Linked DNA regions of Macaca mulatta. The protein of the gene in region 6 purifies or fractionates together with the protein of the main gene of each other region. This does not show direct contact. Links are inferred from orthologs where the notes say so. Each region holds a gene or a part of one and is shown on either strand. Other genes may lie near its edges.

What was found.
Region 1: the proteins of TNFRSF1A (region 6) and BIRC3 purify together in Homo sapiens (affinity purification with western blotting; 4 studies listed by BioGRID, with this or other methods). This does not show direct contact. The link is inferred for Macaca mulatta from reciprocal best matches to the Homo sapiens genes TNFRSF1A and BIRC3.
Region 2: the proteins of TNFRSF1A (region 6) and NSMAF purify together in Homo sapiens (affinity purification with western blotting; 3 studies listed by BioGRID and IntAct, with this or other methods). This does not show direct contact. The link is inferred for Macaca mulatta from reciprocal best matches to the Homo sapiens genes TNFRSF1A and NSMAF.
Region 3: the proteins of TNFRSF1A (region 6) and BIRC2 purify together in Homo sapiens (affinity purification with western blotting; 9 studies listed by BioGRID and IntAct, with this or other methods). This does not show direct contact. The link is inferred for Macaca mulatta from reciprocal best matches to the Homo sapiens genes TNFRSF1A and BIRC2.
Region 4: the proteins of TNFRSF1A (region 6) and CHUK purify together in Homo sapiens (affinity purification with western blotting; 3 studies listed by BioGRID, with this or other methods). This does not show direct contact. The link is inferred for Macaca mulatta from reciprocal best matches to the Homo sapiens genes TNFRSF1A and CHUK.
Region 5: the proteins of TNFRSF1A (region 6) and CYLD purify together in Homo sapiens (affinity purification with western blotting; 4 studies listed by BioGRID, with this or other methods). This does not show direct contact. The link is inferred for Macaca mulatta from reciprocal best matches to the Homo sapiens genes TNFRSF1A and CYLD.
Region 7: the proteins of TNFRSF1A (region 6) and MAP3K7 purify together in Homo sapiens (affinity purification with western blotting; 7 studies listed by BioGRID, with this or other methods). This does not show direct contact. The link is inferred for Macaca mulatta from reciprocal best matches to the Homo sapiens genes TNFRSF1A and MAP3K7.

Annotation. Positions count from the first base shown.
Region 1 is NC_133419.1:103,187,969-103,192,143, reverse strand, and holds the start of BIRC3 (baculoviral IAP repeat-containing protein 3), read right to left. Parts: upstream 2,801-4,175; 5' UTR 2,686-2,800; intron 1-2,685. UniProt on the Homo sapiens protein: Multi-functional protein which regulates not only caspases and apoptosis, but also modulates inflammatory signaling and immunity, mitogenic kinase signaling and cell proliferation, as well as cell invasion and metastasis.
Region 2 is NC_133413.1:69,275,871-69,279,370, forward strand, and holds part of NSMAF (protein FAN), read right to left. Parts: coding exon 3,443-3,500; intron 2,037-3,442; coding exon 1,928-2,036; intron 648-1,927; coding exon 589-647; intron 1-588. UniProt on the Homo sapiens protein: Couples the p55 TNF-receptor (TNF-R55 / TNFR1) to neutral sphingomyelinase (N-SMASE). Specifically binds to the N-smase activation domain of TNF-R55. May regulate ceramide production by N-SMASE.
Region 3 is NC_133419.1:103,217,272-103,221,425, forward strand, and holds the start of BIRC2 (baculoviral IAP repeat-containing protein 2), read left to right. Parts: upstream 1-1,354; 5' UTR 1,355-1,500; intron 1,501-1,517; exon of another isoform or gene 1,518-1,959; intron 1,960-2,726; 5' UTR 2,727-3,984; coding exon 3,985-4,154. UniProt on the Homo sapiens protein: Multi-functional protein which regulates not only caspases and apoptosis, but also modulates inflammatory signaling and immunity, mitogenic kinase signaling, and cell proliferation, as well as cell invasion and metastasis.
Region 4 is NC_133414.1:112,252,715-112,256,214, forward strand, and holds part of CHUK (inhibitor of nuclear factor kappa-B kinase subunit alpha), read right to left. Parts: intron 1,571-3,500; coding exon 1,447-1,570; intron 1,028-1,446; coding exon 876-1,027; intron 1-875.
Region 5 is NC_133425.1:46,193,926-46,198,127, reverse strand, and holds the start of CYLD (ubiquitin carboxyl-terminal hydrolase CYLD), read right to left. Parts: upstream 2,801-4,202; 5' UTR 2,762-2,800; exon of another isoform or gene 2,670-2,761; intron 2,239-2,669; exon of another isoform or gene 2,123-2,238; 5' UTR 2,062-2,122; exon of another isoform or gene 1,693-2,061; intron 1-1,692. UniProt on the Homo sapiens protein: Deubiquitinase that specifically cleaves 'Lys-63'- and linear 'Met-1'-linked polyubiquitin chains and is involved in NF-kappa-B activation and TNF-alpha-induced necroptosis.
Region 6 is NC_133416.1:7,265,028-7,267,391, forward strand, and holds part of TNFRSF1A (tumor necrosis factor receptor superfamily member 1A), read right to left. Parts: intron 1,684-2,364; exon of another isoform or gene 1,669-1,683; coding exon of another isoform or gene 1,577-1,668; intron 324-1,576; coding exon 250-323; intron 121-249; coding exon 7-120; intron 1-6.
Region 7 is NC_133409.1:95,420,016-95,423,515, reverse strand, and holds part of MAP3K7 (mitogen-activated protein kinase kinase kinase 7), read right to left. Parts: intron 2,446-3,500; coding exon 2,315-2,445; intron 1,660-2,314; coding exon 1,530-1,659; intron 1-1,529. UniProt on the Homo sapiens protein: Serine/threonine kinase which acts as an essential component of the MAP kinase signal transduction pathway. Plays an important role in the cascades of cellular responses evoked by changes in the environment.

The DNA.
Region 1 (4,175 bases), on a different chromosome or scaffold from region 6:
TACACAAATCTTATCCTAAAGAAGCTTTAGGTCAGGCGTGGTGGCTCACGCCTGTAATCCCAGCACTTTGGGAGGCCAAGGCAAGCAGATGACTTGAGATCAGGAGTTTGAGACCAGGCTGGCCAACATGGTGAAACCCTGTCTCTACTAAAAATACAAAAAAAATTCGTCAGGTGTGGTGGCACGCACCTGTAGTTCCAGCTACTCAGGAGACTGAGGTAGGAGAATCACTTGAACCCAGAAGGTGGAGGTTGCAGTGAGCCAAGATCATGCCACTGCACTCCAGCAAGGTATATATTTGTGGAAATTCAGGCAACAACTATACAATAAATATACAAAAATATGCCAAGATGTCAACCCCAGATCACTTCAGCCTCTGTCCTAACAATTTCCAACACCTAGATGCAGCCCTGCAGACTGGGACCAGCATCACTTAAGACTCCTTTGCCACCCCTTAGCAATTCCTTTTCGCCCTGCTCAGCCCCCTAGCCCACTGCCCTATGCACCCTTCTAAACCTTCAACACCTTCCTCAGATTTCTCCACTGCACTCCATCTCATTTTCAGTCCATTGCTTTGCCTTCTATTTCTCAAAGAAAAGAGATATCATTGAGCAGGAACCGCCTCACATTCTCATATCCAAGCCTTTTTGGCTCACAACCTACTTGCTGCCTCAGTTAAAGACTTGCCCCCTTATGGGATCCTAAACTCTCCTACTGCCTCAGAAGTCTTGTTCTTAATCCCATCTCCCTCATTGCGTCAACTCTCATTCCTCTCACTCTCAACTGGCCCTTTTCCTTCCACATAACAACCATGCTTAAATCTATCTCAACTCTCAAATGAAAGAAATTTTTAAAATTCTCTTTCGGCCAGGTGCGGTGGCTCATGCCTGTAATGCCAGCGCTTCAGGAGGCTGAGGCGGGTGGATCACAAGGTCAGGAGATCAAGGCCATCCTGGCTAACACGGTGAAACCCCATCTCTACTAAAAAGAAATGCAAAAAATTAGCCAGGCATGGTGGCGTGCACCTTTACTACCAACTACTTGGGAGGCTGAGGAAGGAGAATCGCTTGAACCCAGGAGGCAGAGGTTGCAGTGAGCTGAGACTGCGCCACTGTACTCCAGCCTGGGTGACACAGTGAGACTCCGTCTAAAAAAAAAAAAAAAATCCCCTTTCAACCCCACTTCCCACTGTAGCAACTACCCTGTATCGCCCCTTCCCTTCATAGCCAAGCAAACTGGACATGTGTGTACGGTTAATGTCTCCATTTTCCCTCTCCCATTTACTCATTAAGTCAGCATCACTTAAAACTGCTCTCAGTATTAATAACACCAATGGTTTTTTTGCCAAAACAAATGGAAATGTTTGCATCTGACGTTGGGGCACACTTCCTCTTAGAAATGTCCCATTCCCTGGGCTTCTCTGATACCAAGCTCTTGGGATTCTTCTTTCATTTCTAGTGGCTCCTTCTCAGATTGGCTCAGTCCCCAACCTTTCGTCTTCTGACTCTTCCATTTAACCTACCAAGAAAGCAACCTCCCCAATCCCAGGGCTGTTGGGCATCCCTACCCTTTGGGCACGCGGCACATCCATTTCTATGACACTGGAGGGCAAGTGTGCCTTTTCTTTCTGCCTCCCCCTAGACAGTAAGGTATTTTAGAACCGCAGCTATTAATATGTTTCATCTCTGTACCTGCCCTCCCACTCATAGCATCTGCAGAGCTTGGCATACAGGGTAGACACAAAGACTTCCCGTTGAAGGAATAAATGTTAGCAAATGTGACTGAGCCCCGAGTGACCACAGTACTTCTATCAATTTTACATTAATGACCACAGAGTCTACTCAGTGATTGATTAGGATCAGGCTTTGGAGTCAGACATCTGGGGTGCTCAGTACCAAGCAGCCCGGTAACCAGAAGCATGACGTTGCACAAGTAAATCTCCAAGAGCCTCAGTTTCCTCACTGTCAAATGGAGATAATTCTGCTCCTTAAGATTATGATAATTAAACGTGAAAAATACATGTAAATTCTTCAGAGAGAAACCTAGCATATAGCAGGTAGCAGTACTTAATGTTAGCAATACATAATAGCAAATAAAGTCAATAGTTAATATTATTGTTACGTTAGCATCAGGTACATGCCTTCGACACTGTATTGATCAGAGTAAGAGCACTTCTGGGTTTCCATGCTGATCACCAGGAAGACAACCAAAAACTGCTGTCTTCCTACCACAGGTTGGAAACATGCCTCCATTTGCTCATTAAACACTTTACTTCCTTCCTGTGCCAGAGCTCTGTGTTAGGCTCGGTCCTGAAATTTATTTGGCACCTGCAAAGGCCCAGTGATAACTCTTGGCAACCGAATCAAAATGACACAGCTGCACAATTCCACTGGCTCACTCCAAAGGTAAAATAGAAATTGAGCACCTGGAACCTATCTAGAGCCTGCCTTTGGGCCCTGACGTTTGATAACTGCGCCCCACCCACTGACTCTCAACCTCTGCAGCGCTCTAGCCCTGAGCACCCCTCGGCCACCCGCTGGCACACCTCTTACCCCAGGGGAGGCGCGCGCGCGCACGCACACACACAAACACACAAGCACACAGCAGCCTTCCTCGCCCACCTGCTGCCCGCGCGCACACACACACACACACACACGCACGCACACCCCAGCCTTCCTCGCCCACCTGCTGCCTAGAGGCCGACGACGCATGCACCAGCAAGGACAAGCCCAGTCTTTTCAAGCGACACCTGTCGCCCGGCCTGTTCCGTGCGGAGGGCGCGAGTCTCACGCTGTCCTTTAAATGCGTCACCCAAATCCCCACCCCTACCCGTAGCAGGCGTTCCGCACTCCTCCCAGTGGTTTGCATGTGCACTGGTGCTTTCCTTTTAGGACTTAGGGGAACTCCAGGGGTAATAACCACAGACACTTCCTCTTAATCAGTGGCCTGGCAAACCCGCTCGGGGATTTCCATGACCCAAAAGCATGACTTTTAACCGTGGCCTATCTGCGCGGCATTTACTGAAAGACATTTGCTTCATTGCTCGTGGGCCAGAGGAAATCTTGATAACAACCCATACAGAGAGGACGGTCATTGCTCAGCCTGCCTGGAAAAGGTCAATATGCCCTATTCACCCTCCATCTGCCATACACTTTACACGTAAAAAGGTTCGGGTTTTCAATCTTCTACTATAGCTGCAGAAGTCCAGCATTAAAAAAAAAAATTCGAAACTTTGTGAAATCTTTCTATTTATTTTTACTTTTTGTTCTGATCAAGAAAGTAAGAGGTGAAAGGAAATGTAGGGGTATGTGAAAAAAATCATGCAGTTCTCCTTTGCAGTTTATTTTTACCATTTTAAAGATTGAAATTGCTTTATTAATTTTCTGTATTGAAATACTTTTTGTTTTGTTTGGTGAGTTTTGGGTTGTTGTTTTTTTTAATAAGTATGGTGGAGTTGGCTACTTAAAAAAATCCCTCCTTTATAGCCTTTGATTTCACAGGGCAGGTGTCTGAGTTGCAGTGCCATTCTCAGGGAAACCTGACATCTTCGAGTCTAACTGCACTGCCATATTTTCCTCAACGTTCTCTAAGTAGTAACTTTAAGCAACTTTATCTGAGAGCCATCCATACCAGGGTAAGAGATGGATTTGGGAGAGCTCATCTGATTTTCTGTCTTCCAGTAGATCAAAGACAGTTACCAACCAGAGGCAGAGCCCATAAAGATTATTTGGTCCTTCATCATTCTGTGGAAACAGCATCCAGTGCATTCTGCACACAATGGACTGAGCTGAGGCATCTTCTGGTTTAGGTGGACTTGGCTGTCCATAGCAACTGAAGTTCCAGTTGGAATTATTTCAGAAAGACTAAGTGTATTTATCATATGGAGACTTTAATCCACATTTGAGTCTGCTTCAATCAAGACTTTCTAAGCCATTTTCAACTCACTCCTGAGATTATGGAAAATAATTTGTGGGCCTTACACATTTTTGATTATGTACTCACCAGAAGAATTTCAAAAAGCTCTGCATTCCCTTGCCCATTTTTAACTTAACATTAAAACATAAAGCTGTTGTACATGTCAGTAATCTACAAAATGTAAACATAGATATTTTTGGAAAAAATTGATAGAACACTCTTTTTTTTTTTTTTTTGAGACGGAGTCTGGCTCTGTCACC
Region 2 (3,500 bases), on a different chromosome or scaffold from region 6:
GCAGACTACCAGGGAGAGAACAATGGTGTATATAGTAAGGGATGCTTTCTGCTATATAGCTACAATAAGTCATATCAATGACACACTGCAAGGGTTTTTATAATTTTCATAATGTATAAGCATATTCAATAATATATTAATGTGATTTTGAGCTAAATCAAATATTCTGAAGAAATACACACTGAATGACAGAACTGAAAACCGTAACAGCAAATCTGCATCTCCGCGTGCTGACAGGCACACGCCGATTTCTGATACAGCACTCGTGACTCACAGCCAACCCCAACAAATGGACAGGGCACCCTCTTATGGCAGGCGGGAAGGACCTGACCCAGCAAGGGTGTGGAAAGGAGGCTGTTTCTGTCCTTTACCCTCAGCTCTGGGAAACCTCATCAGCAACAGAAAGATGTTTCATTATTATTTTTGGCAAATTACGATGAAACTCTATGCAATGTACCACAAAGGAACTGCTCTAAGTTTACGTGGAGGCAGCACATGCAAGTACAGTCCTTGACCGCGAGCTACATAATAAAGAACTCAGACATTCTAGGATTCTGGTGAAGTCGCCTTTCAGGGAGAAACACTGACCTTGGGATGTTGTGAACACTGAAGATCCATTGCGAGAGACTGTGATTCCAGTAACTGCTCTGCTCAAAAACAAAGTTTCACAAATTACTACTCATCATGTGTTAGGACACCCGCTTTGTTTCACGTCCTTGAGTTAATTATACCAAGTTTCCTTAATGTTTTTCTTCACAGTATGCCTGCCAGATCTGTCCCAGCATAAGCCTGCCATTACCAAATCACCGCTTGGCAACTTCTCATGTTCTGGCAACACCTGTGACTAGAAAACATCCCCACTCTTTGCCTCCCTGTGTTCCACATGCAATGCTTCACATATTCCTGACAATTTCTGGCAATTGGAAAACTCTTCTCCTTCTATTCCCTCTCGTTTGACCATCACCAAAGGGACAAATTCTTCTTCATAGTCACTTCATTTGCTCATTACTGAAGCTAATTTACTCAGTGACTATTCAATGATAAGAAAATTGGTTCCAGCCTGTCCTCTTAAAGGATCATTCAGTCTTCACTATCTTGGATTACAAGGTCCCTTCCTATGTGCCATTTAGAGAAGTTGAGAAAAGACAGCCATTGTCATCATGAATCAGCCAAAACTCCTTGTTTCTCTTCGGGAGGCTGGATTGTGACATGAAGCCATCCATCTAATGCAGAGCAGCATACCCAGCTCCACCCGTGACCAATATACCGGAGGGGCTGTCTACGGTCATGCAGCAAGGTAGGGCCTAGTCTCTGGACCTGGGTTTCCTCTCTGTAGCAGGATGAACAGGCTAGGTCAGTGGTTCTCAAGCCTTTCTACCAGAGAACATGAAGGTCTTAATGACAGAGGGCAGAGAACACACATGTCATCTCTGGGTCCAACAGCAAGCCCAATTTCTTAGAAGTATAATTATTGTTATAATTATTGTTTTTAAAATTCGTGTGAACTTTGCAATGTTCTCTCTCTGAGAGAGCTAATTATTTTTAAAAGGAGGCTTTTCGCCTACATTATGTGTAAATTCAACACTTGTGGGGTATATATCACACTTCTCCCATCACAGATGCAAGGAGCTGTGTACCCCAATTTGAGAGGCACAAAACTGGCTGCTCTCTGCAGATGTACTGTGAAGTGACAGACTGCAGAAATGACAGCATGGTAGCCACCACAAATCATTTCGTGCCAAACTTTCCTACTACATCCACCTCAGGTGGAGATCGCTATAGACATTTGGGGGAGATTTTTCAAAATCAAGACAACATTGAAAGGGAATGTTCCCTCTGACTCAGCTTAAAACAGTTTAAGCCCATGCCAAGACCCTAACTTTCGCCAGGACCATCAGCTGCTGAGAAGAAGCAGAGATATTCTTACTCTTTGTGGATTTTATAGTGCTCGTGTAACTGCAGTTTGGTGATGTTATTCCAGGCCAGCGTTTTGCTTTCTTCGGTCAGGTCTTCAAAAGACTCTTCACCTGGAGAGACTACATTACATTTTCGCTAAGTCAACCAAGTTACCAACAGACAACAGCATCAGATTCACAACATTTTCTATTAAAATCAAACAACTAAGAAACGAAACACCCTGTCCCAATATGACTGCTTTGAAATGTACCTGTTAGATGGTTCCATGTTAGTCAAGGGAAAAAACTGTATAAAGAACGATAAAAAGTATCCTTGAATAACACTAGAGTCTTTTTATACTTTTATCAATGTTTGCAAAGCTTTCACTTGGCCTCTAACTTATGAATTTGGGGAAATACAAGACTGAGTCATCATTTCCTTGTCAACATTCTTTCAAAAACCTGACAGTTGCCTAAGAATGCTACAGTTTTGTTTTGGTTTGGGGTGGGGAAAGCAGAGATGAAATCAATTACTGCAAGAGCTTCTGGCAGGAGTAATCCTTTTACTTCTGCTTTAAGAAGGGCTGAAACAATTACCCTCTTAAAACTATCACATGACAGTGGTTATGGCCTGGTGACTAAGCAGAGCGCAGTTTGAAACAGCATCACAAGATAATCCTGTGATCTTTATTATTTAACCCTCTAGAGTATTCTCTCTTAAAGAAGCTACCCCTGGATCATGTAACTCCAGGAAGCTATTTCTCCATGCTTGAGAGAATGCTCAGCTATGTATGCCTAAAATGTCTGGATGTGCTTGGAACAGACAGGAGGATTGGAGATAAAAAGTGATTTTGCTCCCAAGGTTCCACAGTGTCAACCTGCTTCTGGAAGCCTGTAGGTCTGAAGTTGTCTTATGTAAAATCTAAAACCTGGGTAACTGGAGAAAGGTGAGCATTCTTTCCTACCTTTCCAAATATTAGATGTGAGAACTGGGTCAAGTTCAATTTAGTGCCTAGCACATGCCCATTACAGAACAGACACATTGTAAAGGTTTGTCAGTGTTAAATAAGTGAAATCCAATGAAGAAGAGACAACACTTTGAATTCAAGATCTGTATGTGGGTGTAGAAGAGCATAATTAGGGCCAGAGAAAGTCTTTTCTGGAAGACAGCAGGGCTGACAGTGACTGGGAAGGCAGACTGGACAGCCAGGACTGTAAGAATGAAAAGGTGAATAGTTAAGGATCAAACACCAGCTTCAAAACCACAGAAGAGAAAGAGAACCACATCAAAACATACACGGCCAAGTTTCACTCATATTCAATTGCCAGAAAATAAAAGCGATTTGATTTCCCTTACAGTCTATAGCTGAAAACAAACATCATCAGCAAAAACAGGTTATTTGTTTTCAGGAGAACTGCAGTAAGGCAGGAGAACACAATCATCTCTAAGTAGCACAACAGTATATGTCTTGTCTCCTCTTCAGAAACATCATCCTCACAGAAGAGCAACAAAAGGTGCTCACGTTTATTCTCTTTACAAAATTTACCTGGGGAATCTGCCATAGAAGCATTATAACTGGAGGTCTGGGACAAACTTTTAAACTT
Region 3 (4,154 bases), on a different chromosome or scaffold from region 6:
CCCCACGTGCATTTTTGGAAGTTTTTAGTCATTGGGAGCCATGGCATTTCTTTTCTCTGTATTACAAACTGTTACACTCACTTTCTTTGACTATTAACATTGGAACAGTAGACCTCCTGTTCTGTGACTGACTGGCAGGCAGAAATGACACGGACAGGAAATGGGAAATGGTTCAGGGTCTTGGAATTCCCCCGGCTGCCTAATTAAGTGGTTCGCTATTTGGAAGTTTTTAAAATATTTGCCCCTTGGAGTTCCCCAGAGAGAAGCAAGCATTGGATTCAATGGGCAAAGAGCGTCAACTTCAAAAGTCATTCGTTGGCTGTCATAGCACAAACATTTACTGCATGCCACTGTGTCTATGGCACTACTGGGGGAGTATGGCGGAGGGATACAAAAGGTCCATCACTAGTAAAAGCCAAGGGTGTTTGTTTACAAATTTTCTATTACCTAAGCATTAAAAAAAAAAACAACCTTGGGCTTCTCTGTGGTTTATGTACAATTATATGTGCATGTACACCAATACACAGGCGGACGTATATATTTCATTTTATTGAAACATTCAGAAAATACTGGGAGTGAAGCCTGACTTGCAATACCGTTCCCGTTGCTGGCAATGAGCATCTGAAATAATGACACTTTTGTCTTTAGTGCATATGCACTGTTTGTCTCCAGAACAGAAAACCAAAAGTTTAAAAACAAGATAACCTAGTTGATTGTAAAACTCATCGAGTCAAAATTATTCATCAGATGCTTCCTACTTTCCAACGCTTCGCTTTTTTCGATTTGCACAAACAGCTGTTGAACGCTGATGCTACACAAACGGTTACAACTGTTTACTTGAGCAAAAAATGCCATCAGACTGACTCCATCCTCAAAATGCAGTCATCTCGACGGGGGAGGCATCACACTAGGGGAGCCTTGCCAGGGGCCAGATCATAACCCTGAGGTGACACAGGGTAGACGCGCAAAACCACCGGCGCCAGGGCGTTTCCGCAGGGTTTCCCAAGAGTCAAACGCAGCGGCTCACGGTTTGCCACGTCCCCCAGGAGAATGGTAGGCACAGAGAGAGAGGAAACGTGGAGGGGGCACAAACTGCAAGGTGAAGAAAACGAACAAACACCGAGTTGATACGGATAGTCCCCGTTCCCCTAAGGGCCGACCCCGCGACTCCCGATGGGCGTCCAGTTGCGCCGGGGGTCCCTGAGCCTCCCAGCGTCTTTCCCGGCGGTTAGTCGCCCCACGGCCGCAAGTGCGCTCGGTTTCGCTTTCCGGCCCCAGCCTCCCGGGCGCCCTCGCGCGGCTGCCAACGCGAGTCTCCGGCCGGGCGCGCTGACGTCATCGTGCGTCGGCGTGAGCCCGGATGGGGCGGCGGGCTTCGGGAGCGCCGGAGCTGACCCGAGCCGAGGCGGCCGTGTCTCCTTGTCGGTACCGCCGCTTCCCGGCTCTGGGGAGGCCTCTAGGCTGCCGCGCAGCTTCCTTGTTTGCTGCGCCCGCACTGCGGTGAGTGCTGCTCCTTCCGGACTCGGGCGGCGCGGGGAGGGTGGGGACGCGCGGGCCCGCGGGGGCCCACTTCCCTGATGTGGCGGCCGGGCGAGGAAGGAAGGGGCCAGAGGCCCTTCGGCCAAGGGTCGAGGGTCGCCGGGGGCTCTCTGCTTTCTACTCTCGCCAAGGTTTTATTGGATTCGGAAGCCCAAACTTCAAGACTTGCAGTCAAAGCCGTTTTTAAAATATGACTTGTTTTCAAACCTCCTCTGGCCGCCGCCCACTCTTCTGGCCCTTGGACTTTGACCAAGATGTTTTCTCGCAGTTTTTGCAAGGTTTTAAACAGCCCTCGGCGTTCTTTTAATGTAATACATTGAAACGAAGATATTTCGGTGGCGGTGATATTTCATATTTCATAGTTGCCACTGCGCTCTGTCATTCCAGTAGTCTGTTGTGTATTGTGAGAAACAACTCTGGGTAATTATTGGGTAAATCCCATAGTTTCTATTCTTTTCTCTTCCATCCTATCCCCTGTCCAGCTGCAGTTTGCATAAAGAGAATGCTGCAGTACGGTGCTCGCAGATAAAAGTCTTTCGTTTAAAGATAGTATATAAAAAATCGCGTGTAATTAAAGCAATCATGCCAGTGGGCGTCAGGCCACTGTTTCACAGGCCGCTGTGTTAGGTTTTGTTTTCGGTTGTTTTCTACCGTCGTTGCTTTGAAATTGTAAGGGATTGGCAGAGTTTAAGGGTTTATATTAATGAACTCGTGGTACATTTTACTGCAGTTTTCCTAGTCGCGGAGAGACTTGATATTACAAACTAACGTTGCTGTCTGATTACTGCTGTACTGCTGTTGACAGGGTTTAGTGGAGTACCTTGTCGCTCTCTCTGCCTTTTTCACCAATGTTCCTTTGCCTCCAGCAGAGTGCCAAAGATACCTTTAGGTCAGAAAAGGGGAGGAGAGCAAGGACAAAATGTTTTCCTGTGTGAAAATTTCCATCTGTCTCTAAAGTTGTGCTTTTTAAAGACACGTATAGTTAGTGCTATGGGAGTATGTTGCATTTATTTATTTTAATTAAGAGCTTTTTCAGTTAGAAAGTTGTGACAAATTGCTGGAAATTAAGATGTGTTATCTAAAATGTAAATTATTCTTAGACTTTAGTGAATAAATTGAAGAGTATGTAAGTTCTATTTGGCATGCAAATACGGTTTTCTAAAATACCTTTTGTTTTTTCTTTTCAGATTTACAGCCCTGAAGAATCCTCCTCTCCCTTTCCCCTTGCAGTAATAAATCCCATTTTGGAGATCTCGAAGCTTTATAAAGGGATATAGTTTGAATTCTATGGAGTGTAATTTTGTGTATGAATTATATTTTTAAAACATTGAAGAGTTTTCAGAAAGAAGGCTAGTAGAGTTGATTACTGATACGTTATGCTAAGCAGTACTTTTTTGGTAATACAGTATTTTGTTAGGCGTTTCTGATAACACTAGAAAGGACAAGTTGTGTCTTGTGACAAATTGATTAATGTTTACAGCATGACTGATAATTATAGCTGAATAGTCCTTAAATGATGAACAGGTTATTTAGTTTTTAAATGCAGTGTGAAAAGTGTGCTGTGGAAATTTTATGGCTAACTAATTAAGTTTATGGAGAAAATACCTTCAGTTGATCAAGAATAATAAAGTGGTATACAAAGTTAGGAAGAAAGTCAACATGCTGCAGGAAATAGAAACAAATACAAATGATATTTAACAAAGATAGAAGAGTTTATAGTTTGTGAACTTTAAGCCAAATTCATTTGACATCAAACACTATAACAGGCACAGGTTCAACAAAGCTTGTGGGTGTTGACTTCCCCAAAAGTTGTCAGCTGAAGTAATATAGCCCGCTTATGTAAATACTATGGTGATAAGCTGTGTGAACTTAGCCTTTAAATAGTGTGACCATATGAAGATTTTAATTACTTTTGTTTATTGGAATAAAATGAGATTTTTTGGGGACATTATATTAAAGTGCTTATAGGGAAAGAAGCCTGCATGTAATTTTTTACCTTGTGGCATAATCAGTAATTGATCTGTTACCCAGGCTTCATAGCTTGTAACCAAATATAAATAAAAGGAGTAATTTAGGTATTCTGTAGTTGCTTAGAATTTTGAGAATATAAATCTCTGTGAAAAATCAAGGAGTTTCAACATTTTCAAAAGGGCATCCACCTCTCAGGGCTTTAGGTTAGTATTACTCAAGATTATGAACAAATAGCACTTAGATTACTTAAAAGAGTTACTACAACCCCAAAGACTTGTGTTCCAAGTAGTATCTTGGTAATTCAGAGAGAGACTCATCCTACCTGAATATAAACTGAGATAAATCCAGTAAAGAAAGTGTAGTGAATTCTACGTAAGAGTCTATCATTGATTTCTTTTTGTGGTAAAAATCTTATTTTGTGTGAAGAAATTTCATGTGACTGTTTTAGCTATCAAACAGTACTGTCACCTACTCATGCACAAAACTGCCTCCCAAAGACTTTTCCCAGGTCCCTCGTATCAAAACATTAAGAGTATAATGGAAGATAGCACGATCTTGTCAGATTGGACAAACAGCAACAAACAAAAAATGAAGTATGACTTTTCCTGTGAACTCTACAGAATGTCTACATATTCAACTTTCCC
Region 4 (3,500 bases), on a different chromosome or scaffold from region 6:
TCCTTCAATTTACTCATATTTTAACTCTGTCTTTTTACATTTCCTTAGTGCATCTGAAGGAGATAAGCTTGGAATCAAATATTGAAAATTTGGAGATCGTGTATGCAAAAAATAGGACTCCACGGTAGATGGTTTGAAAAAAATCATAGCCTTAGAATATTTGTGTCATTATTTACAGAAAGGTAAGTAGTTTAAGACTCCCCTGGTTGTCTTAGTCCATTTGGGCTACTATAAAAAAATACCATAGACTAAGTGCCATAAAAACAATAGAAATTTATTTCTTATAGTTCTGAAGGCTGGGAAGTCCAAGAACAAGGCAGATTTGGTATCTGGTGAGGGCCTGCTTTCTGGTTCCTGATGACTATCTTCTTGCTCTGTCCTCACATGCAGAAGGGGTGAGGGATCTCATTCAGGCCTCTTTTGTAAGAGCATTAATCCCAAACACGAAGGCTCCACTCTCATGACCTAGTCACTTCCCAAAGACTCCACCTACCAACACCGTCACCTTCAGGGTCAGAATTTCAACATATGTATTTCATGGGGGACACAAACATTCAGTCCACAGCACTGGCTAAGAAGTCCAGATTTTGTATTTATTTTTAAATTATGTTTGAAATTCAAGATTATTAAATTGCTTCTGTATTTTTTTGGAGCTAAATAATTTTAGCCCAATTGTGAAACTAAATTGCTCAACTAAGCAAATTTTTAAAAAGAGGTAACATTCAAAACAAACATGGTTTCTGGTAATCTAAGTTGTCCTGTCTCCTGTCCTAATGTGAAGGTAAGTAAAACAACTGGCTGAGTTAAGAAGGCAAAACAACAGATGGCTTCAAGAAACCAGATATTCCTTTGAAATATATTACTCAGACACTTACATATCCCATACGTCATCTGCTCGCTGTATCTCTCCAAGTCAAGCTGAATGCTTTTGTGAAAAAACTCCAATTTAGCTTTCAGTTGTTGTGATGCTGAGATCAAAGTGTTCTTCATTTTTGTTAAGTTAGCATTATATCTAAGAAGACTTAACCTAAACCATAGCAAAAAAAAAAGAAAAAAGATATTATCAGCATTCGGCATTCAGAAACATTGAACAATAATTTAAAAACATAAACTGCCACAAGGCCAAAGCCTAAGTTTCTATTATCAATCTATGAGAAATAACTGATCTCTAGAATCTGATCTCTAAAGACTTCCTGCCTATAATATTCTGTGATAAACAATCTTTTTGTACTAGGACCATACGGGAATTATTACCCTCAAGTCATTATAATAGAATGGTCTCAGTCCATTAGTGAGAATTCTACAAGTTTAATCAGAACATTACACTTCAAATTGGCCTAGTATGTTACTATTACATGAAATATTGATTAGTGAAAACCAGCAAGATTAATTCTTGAGTATATGATGCACATTGCATTGTGCTTATAAACAACAGAATCCACTTACATTGCTGCCCTTTGTCCCTGAAAGAGCCTGCTGTAGTCTTCTTTTAGTCCAGACACATAGTGCACTGCTTCAGCCCACACTTTACGCAGCTGTACAATTGGAAGCTGTATTTTGCTGTCCTGTACTATATACAAGAAGATGAGAAAAGGGGCAAGGGAGTTAGTTACTTTTGAGGATTTTAGAGTTGATTTATTGTTCTCTGTGATTTTCTGTCTACAAAAACAGGATTCCCATAGATGCTACAAACTGATGCTAAAAGAGCCACTTGTTTCCATTTAATTCAGTTCAATATACATTTACAGAGCACCTGCAATACATAAGCCCTGCTCCAGATACAAGGGGGAAAAAAATGAATGACATAATCACTACACTCACAGAGCCTGAGATTATTCCTGTATCTGTCTTTTTTGTTTGCTTTTCTGCAACCTGGAATACTCTTTTTCTCTCTGCTAATCCAAATTATTTCTTTCAAGTTCTAAATCAAGTCCCATCTCCTCTGGGTCTTTCCTACCTCTAAATAATAAATTTCATATCCTGGACCAACAATCCAGCATTAAGAATACACACAAGAGTCAGGTGTGATGGCTCACGCCTGTAATCCCAGCACTTTGGGAGGCCAAGGCGGGCGGATCCCTTGAGGTCAGGAGTTCAAGACCAGCCTGGCCAACATAGTGAAACCCTGTCTTTACTAAAAATACAAAAATTAGCTGGGTGTAGTGATGCACATCTACAGTCCCAGCTACTCAGGAGGCTGAGGCAAAAGAATCACTTGAACCCAGGAGGTGGATGTTACAGTGAGCCAAGATCGCACCACTGTACTCCAGCCTGGGTGACAGAGTGAGACTCTACCTCAAAAAAAAGAAAAAAAAAGAAAACACAGAGGGTAAATGGCAGTTTAATAAAATATGCTTTCTTCAATGCCAGACTTTAAAAAGTTATCTATTTGTGATTTTTATCTCACCCATTCTTTGGTAAAGGGAATGCTACTTTTCTAAAACCATGTGTTAAGTTCAATGAAATTCTATTTTAACATATGGAATTCTCCAACATTGAAACAGATTCATATTGTAAGGCAGCAAGTATATTCTCTGTTACTTTTTTCTAATGAAAACTTCAGAGAAAGGTTAGGCAAAACTTGCTACACTAGTGTTCCTACGAGAAAACACATCATCTGAAGCAGACTTTAAATAAATTAAGCTATATAAATGGAAAAATATTTGCCTCCCTTAATAATTATTAATATTCTCAATTAACCTTTCTCCTATTGTATAACCAAACTTCCACCTGTGGCTTCCTACAACAGACCAAAAAAAAAAAAAAAAAAAAATCAAACTTTTTAAACAAAATAAAACAAAAACAACTCATTGATGGGGGCATGTAAAAGAGGTACAGGAGCCCACTGAAAGAGCTCCAAATGGCCAAAGCTGGAACAATCTGAGCAACAGAATAAACTAGTATTGGATTATAATATAAAGTATTTTTAAAAATCCATTAATCCATACTAATATAAATAAATGACTGAAATTAATAAATGGGAGAGCAAGGACAAATCTCCTATGCAGAAGAATTCCAAATAAATTATGTAGATACTCTATCCTAAAAGAGGGGAACATAACTCCCTCTTTTTTTTTTTTTTTTTTTTTTGAGACAGGGTCTCGCTCTGTCACCCTGGCTGGAATGTAGTGGCATGAACTCAATTCACTGCAATCTTACTTCCGTGACCTTTCTCTCAAAAACCCACTGCCCCAGTCTAATCATGAAAAAAAAAAAAAAAAAAAAAAGGCCAGGCACGGTGCCTCATGCCTGTAATCTCAGCACTTTGGGAGACCAAGGCAGGCGGATCACCTGAGGTCAGGAGTTCGAAACCAGCCTGGCCAACACAGCAAAACCCTGTCTCTACTAAAAATACAAAAATTAGCTGGGCATGGTGGTGCGTGCCTGTAATCCCAGCTACTCGGGAGGCTGAGATAGGAGAATCGCTTGTACCCGGGAGGTGGAGGTTGCAGTGAGCCAAGATTGCACCACTGTACTCCAGCCTAGGCGACAAGAGCGAA
Region 5 (4,202 bases), on a different chromosome or scaffold from region 6:
CTTACTTGTATTAAGATAAAGTCATTAAACCAAGATGAGGGTTGGAAGGCACAAATATTTATCAATTTTCCATGAAGGCAATGGAAAGATGATCAGGAAATAAGCTTTACATGAAAATGTTAAAGATTACAATTACCACATTCTGAAAGGCAACATATACTACAAATGAACATCAGTAGCAACAGAAAACTAACAATGGTTAACTTATCCAGAAGATACAGTGTCTTTCTGATTCTCAAGTTATCAGGTTATATTGTTCATAAGGATCTCACAAAGACAGATCCAATTCAAGAGCTTTTTGCATCTCTTGAGATATCCTGCTTGTTCTAAAAAGGAAGCTACCTAAATTAGAATAAAAATTACAATACTTAATTCTGCCCCTAATTACCAATGGCAAAGAGGTAGGAAGGTCAGCGTGGACACCAAAGAAAGAAGACATGTGGGCCTTTTCCCAAAAGCTTCTGGATAGCTAGAATGATTACTCTTTTAAAAAAGAACACCTCTCACTAAAAGACAAAGTTGTTATATTTCTAAACAGCTAAAGAATAGGGATACAGAGATTCCGTGGCCAGAAAAAAAGACTGAGTCCGTTTTAATTTTCCTCAATGACTAACTTGTGTCACAAGTACACAGTCCCTAATATAAGTGGGATTTATAAGGTTAAAAGAAAAGCAAAGCCTCTCACATCTGCATATTCCCGCCGGAACACGGAATACTGCTGCCTCTCTAGTGTTAAACCTAGCCACTCCACTGCCAAACTGTGAATTCCCCAAGTCCTTCATTTTTATATTATCCAGTGCCCACACGAGAGCCTGGCATATGCTAGGCACTGAATACGGAGAAATGAATGAAAGACTCAAGTGCCAACAGTGAAAACAAAATTGCATTTCCTCCTCCTGTTTAAGGGATTAAAACAAGAGAAAGAGAAAAGAAAAAGGCTAAGGAATTGGGAACATTTAATGAATTTTGCCTAAAACTTCACTAATTCTCTGGATAAAATGAAATCATGCTAAACCACTTCATTGTTACACATATAAGAAACAAATACAGAAAATTTCACAATTACGAAACCAAGTTGTTTTGAGGTTTATTTGAAACTAGCTTCCTAGAGCCTCACTAGCGTGTATCTACTTAGAAATTCTGTTCAACCAATGGAAAAAAAAAAAAAACTAATTTAAGATCATAGTGTGAAAATCAGGAACAAAATACTAATAGTTCGATAAACAACATAAGTATTCCTTTCTCTCTCCTTGTGCTGGAGACTTCCTTAAATCAAACAAAACCACAGTTTAGGTGTGCCAGACTACAAAAATTATTGCTGCTTAATGTTAGTTGTTGCTTTATACAACAAGTCTTATCTGCTTCTCACAAAAGTTACCACCCAAAGGAAGGTTTATTTGCAAGAATACTATACAATTTTGCAGCAGAATATTAGAGAATGTTCTGGGTGTTATCGACATCCAGAGTACATGAACTTCAATAAGAATTTCCAGCAAATCATTTTCTCCTAATACTGTTCTACTTCAAATCCACCCACTACTCAGTGGGGAATGGCAGGCTAAATTCTTAAGGCCATTCAATCTACTTGGGGCATGAGGGGGTGTGTAGAAAGCCAACAATCAAATGAACACCCTCTCAAGGCCTGGGTGCTTCTCTGAGAGCCAATGATTGCAAAATGAACAATCCTATTAAGATCTCTAGACCATATTCAAAAGCAAGGTAGGCATGCTCCTCAGCTGAGCTAAGGATACAACTTTCCAGGAAAAACTGGAGAAAAGAAAGTGGCGGGGATGATGGGGGCTGGGAGATTGCAAGGCCACAGGCTTGGTGGCTGGAAGATGACAACTATCCTAAAACATTCAAATGCCAAGGGGTGGAAAAGAAACGATGCCAAGTGCATGAATAACCGGCAGCTGACCCAGCTGAGTACCAAACTCAACACCATCTTCCTCAAGATTTCATGACTTCCCTTCCGCCCCCCTTCCGCCACCCCCCCCCCCCCACCATTGTTAACATGAAAGAAAAACATAAAGAAAGAATACCTGTCACAACAGGGCGCACCTTTCAACTAAGGAACTCCAGGTGGCTGTGTAGAACCATCCTCACCCTGGAAAGGGGGAAACTGAAAGAAAAAGCAGAACACGCCATTAACGAGGCCAGAACCCCGACTGCGATTTCTGGACGGGAGCCACCAACACCCGCAAAATCGATCGCTGCATACGCCCCGCGGCGCGGACGGTAGGAATCACAGCCCCGAGCTCCTGAGGCCAACGGTGGCCGTCGGGGCCCGCCAGCGGCCTGTGCCTCAGTCTCCCCATCTGTAAATGGGGTGGGGGGCGAGGAGGGGGACAGTGTCCCGCGCGACTCCCGCCCCAAGTCCTCTCTCCTCCGAGGGTCCCGACGGTGGAGACCCGGCACGCTCCCCGGACTCGGAGCCCTCCCGGGAAGCCTCGGGGGATGGGGAAGCCCCGGGGGTGGGGAAGCCCGGGCTGACGTCAGCGTGCTCGGCACCCCACTGGCCCGGCCGGCTCGGGCCCGGGCAACTAACGGGCCGGCGCCGAGGGCCCGACGGTCGCCGCAGCGGCTCCGGACGCCCTGAGGCCGGGTGGCTGCGCCGAGGGGATCCGGCCGCCCGCCGCCCGCCGCCCGCCGCCCGCTCACTCACTAACCTCGGGCGGCGGGGCGTCGCCCCTCGCCCCGGCTCCCCAGCCTGCGTCCCGGGCCGGCCCCGGCGCCCCACACCCACCGCCCTAGTATTTACCTCCGACGCGCGGCCCCCGCGCAGCCGAACCTGCTACCTGGGCCCGCCCCCACCTGCCCCGCCTCCGAACCGCCCAGAGGAGAGGGAGGGAGCGGGGGCGGAGGGGGCAGACGCCGCGCTGGCCAATCGCAGGCCGAGCTGCTCTCTTGAGCGGGCCCTGATTGGGCCTCCCTGTGACAGACCTTCCTCCAATGGCTGCCGGCCCGGCGCCGGCCGAAGGGACTTTCCGCTCTGTCAAGCTCGGTGGAACCAAAGGGAAAGCGGAGGGGCGGGGCGGAGAAGAGCGGGGGATGGAGGCGGGAAGCTCAAGCTGATTGGGCGAAAGGCTGTGGGTGCCGCGTCACCATTGGCTGGTGCCGGAGACGGGGCGGGGCGGGGCGCTGCGCTGTCACCAGCTCCACCTCCCGTGCTCCTACCTCAGCTGTCAAAACTGTAGACGCTTAGGTTTGGGCTGGGTTGAGAGTCCAGATGAAGGTTGGGAATAGGATTCCAGGATGCCGTGAGAGAGCAAAGCTTTAGAATCAGACCTCACTTTGAATCTTTGGCGCTTTCATTCAGTGGCTGCGTGACTCGGGGAAGTCACAACCACGCTGTGCCTCAATGTCCTCATCTGTAAAATGGAGATCATAGTATCGGTTGTCTTATAGGATTGTGGCAAAATACTGAGTTAAAGTTTCTGGCACGCAGTACCAGCTCAGGAAAGGTTCATCTCTTCCTCCCCCGCAGATTCAGCCTGGGACGCTTGCTGTTTCCGAACCTCTGTTGCCACCTATCCCAGTTAGGAGGGAATTTTCCCAAGGATGGTGAAGAAGGGATTTCCACACGCCGCCTCACTCAGCCCTGCACCCCTGGCCACCAGCCAGGACTTAGGGTGTAGTTAAGGATCTTTCAATTAGAAGGGAGGCTTCTGATTCCCAAAAGTACTCAAAATATTTAAGGAAGTGCTTTTTATAATCGGTCCCAGAGCCTTGCTGCACTGGATACTCCTGTTAATTAATTTCTTCTCCTTTGACATTTTAAGTGCTAATTATAGGAGAAGGTGATTAACACTGAGAAAGGAGGAGGGGTGTGTGTGTGTATGTGTGTGTTTAACCATGACACAAATTTCCCCCAGTGGAAAGTAACATGTTTCTGGAGATCCAGGGAATTTAAACCAATGAATACATAAAAGCAGTCACATGAGTGACGAGTAACAGTAGCAGTAGACAGGCCACCACTCTTCCCTGCCATAGTCATCCAAAATGAAATGAGCATCTTTTGAAAACCTAAGCCTCTTTCTACTCCTGTCCCTCTTTTGTCACCCCTATCTTCCTCTATTCCAAGCTTCACGACCACACTGCCAAAGGAAGCCATAAGTTGGAAATCAACAGGCCTGGCTTGTGTGGCCTTAGGCAACACCGTTCTCCTCTACATCTTTATTCTCCAACAAAGCTGGAAGGAC
Region 6 (2,364 bases):
ACTCACCAATGGCGTAGAGCTTGGACTTCCACCGTTGGTAGCGATACATTAAACCAATGAAGAGGAGGGATAAAAGGCAAAGACCAAAGAAGATGACCAGGGGCAACAGCACTGTGGTGCCTGGAGACAAAGCAGGTGTTGGTCAGAGGAGGGGGCAGAGGGGGGCCACAGGGATAGACGGATGGGTGGGATGGATGGGTCGGGGCAAGGAGGGGGAGAGGGCAGGTGAGCACGGTCACTTCTCCTCACCTGAGTCCTCAGTGCCCTTAACATTCTCAGTCTGGGGTAGGCACAACTTGGTGCACTCCAGGGTTTTCTTACAGCTAAAAGAAGAGACGGTACTGGTGAATAGAGGCCCTACCATTGGAGGAACGCAGAAAAACAGCAACACAGATTGTTGGACATCCTTTACAAATATTTTTGCTGTCTCTTGATATAATGTGTTTTGGGAACTGATGCAGAAGAATGAAACACAGTTAATCATAGGATCATTTAATTTTAGAATTGGCAGGGATCTTGAAAAGGCTGTGGAGAAAATGTGAAAAGCAGTCAGGGTCATCACATGAATTCCAGTCCATTCCTTGGCTAGCAGTGTGAATCTAGGCAAGCCATTAACCCCCAAGCCTCGGTTTCCTCATCATCACAGGGATCACCCACCTCTCAGGATTGAGGATTAAGCAAAATGATTATGCCTCATTTAATAAGTGCTTGAGAAGGTAACTAGCTCGCTGTTATGGGATTGCTGTTTCATCACTGTTTTGCTGATAAGAATCCTTTCGCAAAGAGAGGTTTAAGGGCTTTTTCTTAAATGACACTGCTAGTTACAATCCCTGACTTCGGGGAGGGGGAGTCAAACATGCATATGAAAAATTTAAAAATACATGTTACTGGGGCAGCCAGAGAGCACGCTGTAGAACTAGCAGAACTTCCACATTGGGAGTTGTCACTGGACAGTGTGGAGTGATGAGAACTCTAAGGGGTGGTGCTGGAAGGAACTTGAGAGAGTGAGTTCCCAGCAGGAAGCTGAAAGCAGGGAGAGGCACTGTAGCCCACCTCTCAAGCTCATGGTGAGAACCACATAGAATAGTATAAAAGTGCTTTCAAGAAGAAACGGAGCCAGGTGTGGTGGCTCACGGCTATAATCCCAGCACTTTGGGAGGCCGAGGCGGGTCAAAGTCAGGAGATCGAGACCATCAGGAGATTGAGACCATCCTGGCTAACACAGTGAAATCCCATCTCTACTAAAAATACAAAAAAAATTAGCCAGGCATGTTGGCAGGCGCCTGTAGTCCCAGCTTCTCGGGAGGCTGAGGCAGGAGAATGGTGTAAACCCAGGAGGTGGAGCTTGCAGTGAGCCGAGATCGCGCCATTGCACTCCAGCCTGGGCATTAGAGTGAGACTCCATCTCAAAAATAAAAAAAAAAGTGCTTTCAGGAAGAGACAAGCCAGGTGCGGTGGCGCACTCTGGGAGGCTGAAGCGGGTGGATAACCAGGAGTTTGAGACCAGCCTGACCAAACTGGTAAAACCCCATCTGTACTAAAAATACAAAAATTAGCCAGGCATGGTGGCACGTGCCTGTAATCCCAGCTACTCGGGAGGCTGAGGCAGGAGAGTCGCTTGAACCTGAGAGGCAGAGGTTGCAGTGAGCCAAGGTTGCGCCACTGCATTCCAGCCTGGGCAACAGAGCAGGACTCTGTCTCAAAAAAAAAAAAAAAAAAAAGATGAAGATTAATGGAAAATAAATAGCTTTGTGTCAGATGTGTTGCAGGTTTTGTTTGTTTGTTTTTGGTTCTCATAAATTCACCAAATGAATGTCATTATGCTTTCTTTAAATATAAGAACGGCAAGGCCCAGGCCAGGCTTGGTGGCTCATGCCTGTAATCCTCGCACTTTGGGAGGCCGAGGCGGAGGATTGCTCGAGCCCAGGAGTCCGAGGCTAGCCTGGGCAACATCATAGGACCCTGTCTCTACAAAAAGTAAAAAATTAGCTGGCTGTAGTGGTGTGTGCCTGTAGTCCCAGCTACTCAGGAGGCTAAGGCAAGAGGATGGCTTGAGCCGTGGAGGTGGAGGCTGAGCCATGGTTGTGCCACTGCACTCCAGCCTGGGTGACAGAATGAAACCCTGTCTCAAAAATAAATAAATAAATAAATAAAAGTCCGGCTCAGAGATGTTAAGAAGCTTGCCCAAGGTCACATAGCCAATAAGTGGCTATGCTGGGGTTCAAACTCTGAGAGCCCTCAGAGTTTATTCTTTGCAAGTGAGTGACAAGAACAGCCACTGTGGAGCCAGGAGTGAGGAGGCCTGGACACAGAGACTAAGAGGGAAATACCATATTTCATCAAACCTAAGATGCAATCAAGAAT
Region 7 (3,500 bases), on a different chromosome or scaffold from region 6:
TCTTCCCTTCTGTTTTAGCAATAGTACTCTGATTTTATTTAGGACAGAAAAGTCATCAGATAAAAGAGGGCAGATCTCCTCTTCCCTTGGAGCTACGTGTAGCCATTCGACCATGTTACTCTGACCAATGACGTGTGGACATTGTTAGGAAAGGCATCTGGGAATGTTCCTTCAAAGAACTTGGATGCCTATTTGCCCTACCCCCATGTCTTCCTTCCTGCTGCCTGGAATGTAGAAGTGATGAAAGGGAACTTTAACAACCATTTTGGAGCACAGGATAACTTTGAGAATGGAAGCTATACAATAGGGATTACGGCACAGAAATAGGAGACCAGTTACTTCAAGATCACAGAGCCCACTACCTTCAGACTTGTTTATGTCTGAAAAATAATGCTTATGTGTTATAGACACTGTTATTTTGGAAATCTGTTATATCTAATGGATTCTAATACTAGCTGATAAAAATCAATGATCATGATTAGTTGAAGACAAGTATAGTATGATGGTCCATCTTGACAACTTCTTTCTGAAAGAGCTCCACACACAATAAGAATATTCTATTTAGAAAAAAACCAAATAAGTGAAAAAAATACCTAAAAAATTGGTTAGCTAAGTTAAAAAAGATGCAAATACACATAGAAATACACATTTATACGTATATATATAGTTAAAAGACTGGGGTAAATACACAAAAATGTTAAGTGTTTATCTCTGAGTGGGGTAATTATGTAAGTTTTTTTGGCTTGTTTACATTTCCACATTTTCCACAACAGAAATGTGTTTACTTTTAAAATCAGCTCCCCCCAATCCCTGGAAGGAATCAGCAAAAAACAACGAAGTCCAAACTAAACCAGCATTACTAAAATGAAACCTGGTCAGAAAATTAGGTTGCCAGTTTACTTAGGTAACAAAACATGTAATTGTTTTTGTGCTGACCAGTTCTTCCATGATTAATAATTTTAAGAACTGAACAATGGAATTTAAATGCTAGCTTTTCCAAGATCCAATAAAATTATGATCTTTTACTTTACAATTAAAAAAATTAACCATAACCAGCTTAGCTAATATTTTGTCACTGGAATGAAGGAGCAGATAGAAGGTCAAATCATACGTGGATCTGGAATACATTTTTCTGTTAAATTTGAAACAAAATATTTGCTATTATTAGAGTTCAGCACAAAAATCTAGTAGTATCACTCAAAATCCCCAAAATATTCCGGTTTTGGCAGAATTTCTCACTCAGACTTTCAACTCATGTTTGAGCAGAAAGAATTACATTTGATAAAATCTGTAAATGAGGAAGGCATACTTTCTCATCCAAATAATTTTACAAGTCATACCTTCCTTATTTGGAATTTGAGATAAATGCAAAATTATTGCTAGTAACTTAGAAAAATATATTGTAAACCTACTTCCTATTTAAAAAAAAAAAAAAAAAGACACACACACAAAACCTCTGACAACTGAAACTACCATGGCCAAAAAGGCTTATATACATTTCACTCTTCAGACTTGTAGTTCCTTTTTACCTGTGGTTGCAGCGATCCTAGCTTCTATTTCAGACATGTCAGCACTCATCCTCTTTCCCTCAGAGGTTGGGGGCAAGCTCTCCACACTGCTCCCACGGGAGGCTCCCAAGCTTAAACGTCCAGATTCACTCTGTTAAAATTACAGGTCAATCTGAATTACTGAAGTTCTTTAGATTTAGCAGTCTTAGGCAACCTAAAAGGAGGAAGATGGCAAGTAGGATTCTGATGGATCCTGTTCTGCTCTGAAAGGAGAGGGAAGTTTGCACGAGAGGGAGCTACAGCAGTAAGGGAAAGCAAGCTGCAGATACTGTTTTTATGAAAGAGTAGTCACTAGAACTGGGGCTAAAAGCCCCAATTATTCATTAACCTAAATGCCTCAGGCAAAATGAATAAACTCACTCCTTACAATATTTTTAAAAATCAACAACGGCAAAAATATAAATCTGAATAGCATGAAATGATACACTTAGGACAACTCCTCTAACTGGGCAGCACAGCCAAAATATATCCGTTTTACATTTTTAACCATCAACCATTACATTTAAGGATTATTATAGATAGGGAGTTAGAGTTGGCAAAGGTAGCAATCATTAGAAGGAAAAACCATTTGGTAATAAATGGTAGGAGACTCTCATTACAAGTCTCTATTTGTAAGCTCTTCTATATGTTTCAGGAAGAAAATTCAGGATTTATAAAATAGAAGATGGTAAATAATTAATTTCATTTAGTATAATATTGTGACTACTGTTAAGGTTACCAATTTTACTTGTAATAACAAAACAAACCTGTTGCTTTGCCTGATTTTTCAACAATTTTGACTCTAAGCGCTTAATAGTATCATTTGTAGCAGGAACTTGCTCCATATTAGTGTCACTTTTATTACTCGTATTTGTAGAAGCAATGTCCATGAATGAGCCTAGGAAAAGCAGAAACATTTATGACTACTGGTTGGAAATAATAAAAATGCTTCACTTAGTATTATGTAACTTACATTCTTTTATAAACTAGCCAGGCAGGAACAGAAATAAGACTTTTCAAGCTAATGAAGATATCCAAACAAACCCATTTTAAGCAAAACTTAAGGCTAGCACAAAAAGGAACCAAGATGCCTAAATAGTCTTCTAATAGTCAAGAATAACTTAAGGTTTTTAACCTGAGCTAGTAGAAGAACTGAGGGCTATTAATTGAGATGGGGAAAGACTACAGGAAGATTGAGTTTGAAGGAAGTATCAGGAACTCTGTTTGGAAAATATTGAGTTTCTAGTAGATGTATAGAAAGTAGTTGGATATATGAGTATAGAGTTCAGGTATAAGATGGAAAAAATTATGAGCCAGCAGATGGTATATAATGCCACAATACTGGATGAGGTTACCAAGGAAATGAGTGCAGACAGATAAGTGAAGAAGCCAAATGACTGGGCCCTAGGCACTTCAACATTTCTAGGTTGGGGAGATGAGGAATAACCAGCAAAGAAAACTGAGAACAGATGGCCAGAGATGTAAGATGGAATCTAGGCTAGTATGGTATCTCAGAGGCCAACTGAATAAAGTGCTGTGTGTAAGAAGGAGAAAGTAATGAATTAGATCAAGTGCTACTGAGAGTCAAGATGAGAAATGAAAATGATTCCTTAAATGTAGTGATGTAGAGATAACTAGTGACCTTGACAAGAACAATTCTGAAGTACTGGCATAATATGTCTGAATGGAGTCGGCTCAAGAAAGAAGGGGAAAAGAGAAGCTAGAGAATGCAAATACAGACTACGTATGTTCTAGGAATGATCCAGTAGAAAGTTAAAGCTGATGATGCAAGAGAGAGAGGAGAATTGCTCAGAAAAGTAGATGGGATATAATGCAGATGGGATATAATGCACAGGCAGAAAGGTACACCTTTGGCCAGAAGTATGGATAGTTCAGCCAGAGTAACAGAAGAAGGCAGAGTAGATGGGCACAGATGTTGTGGAAGCTGTCTTC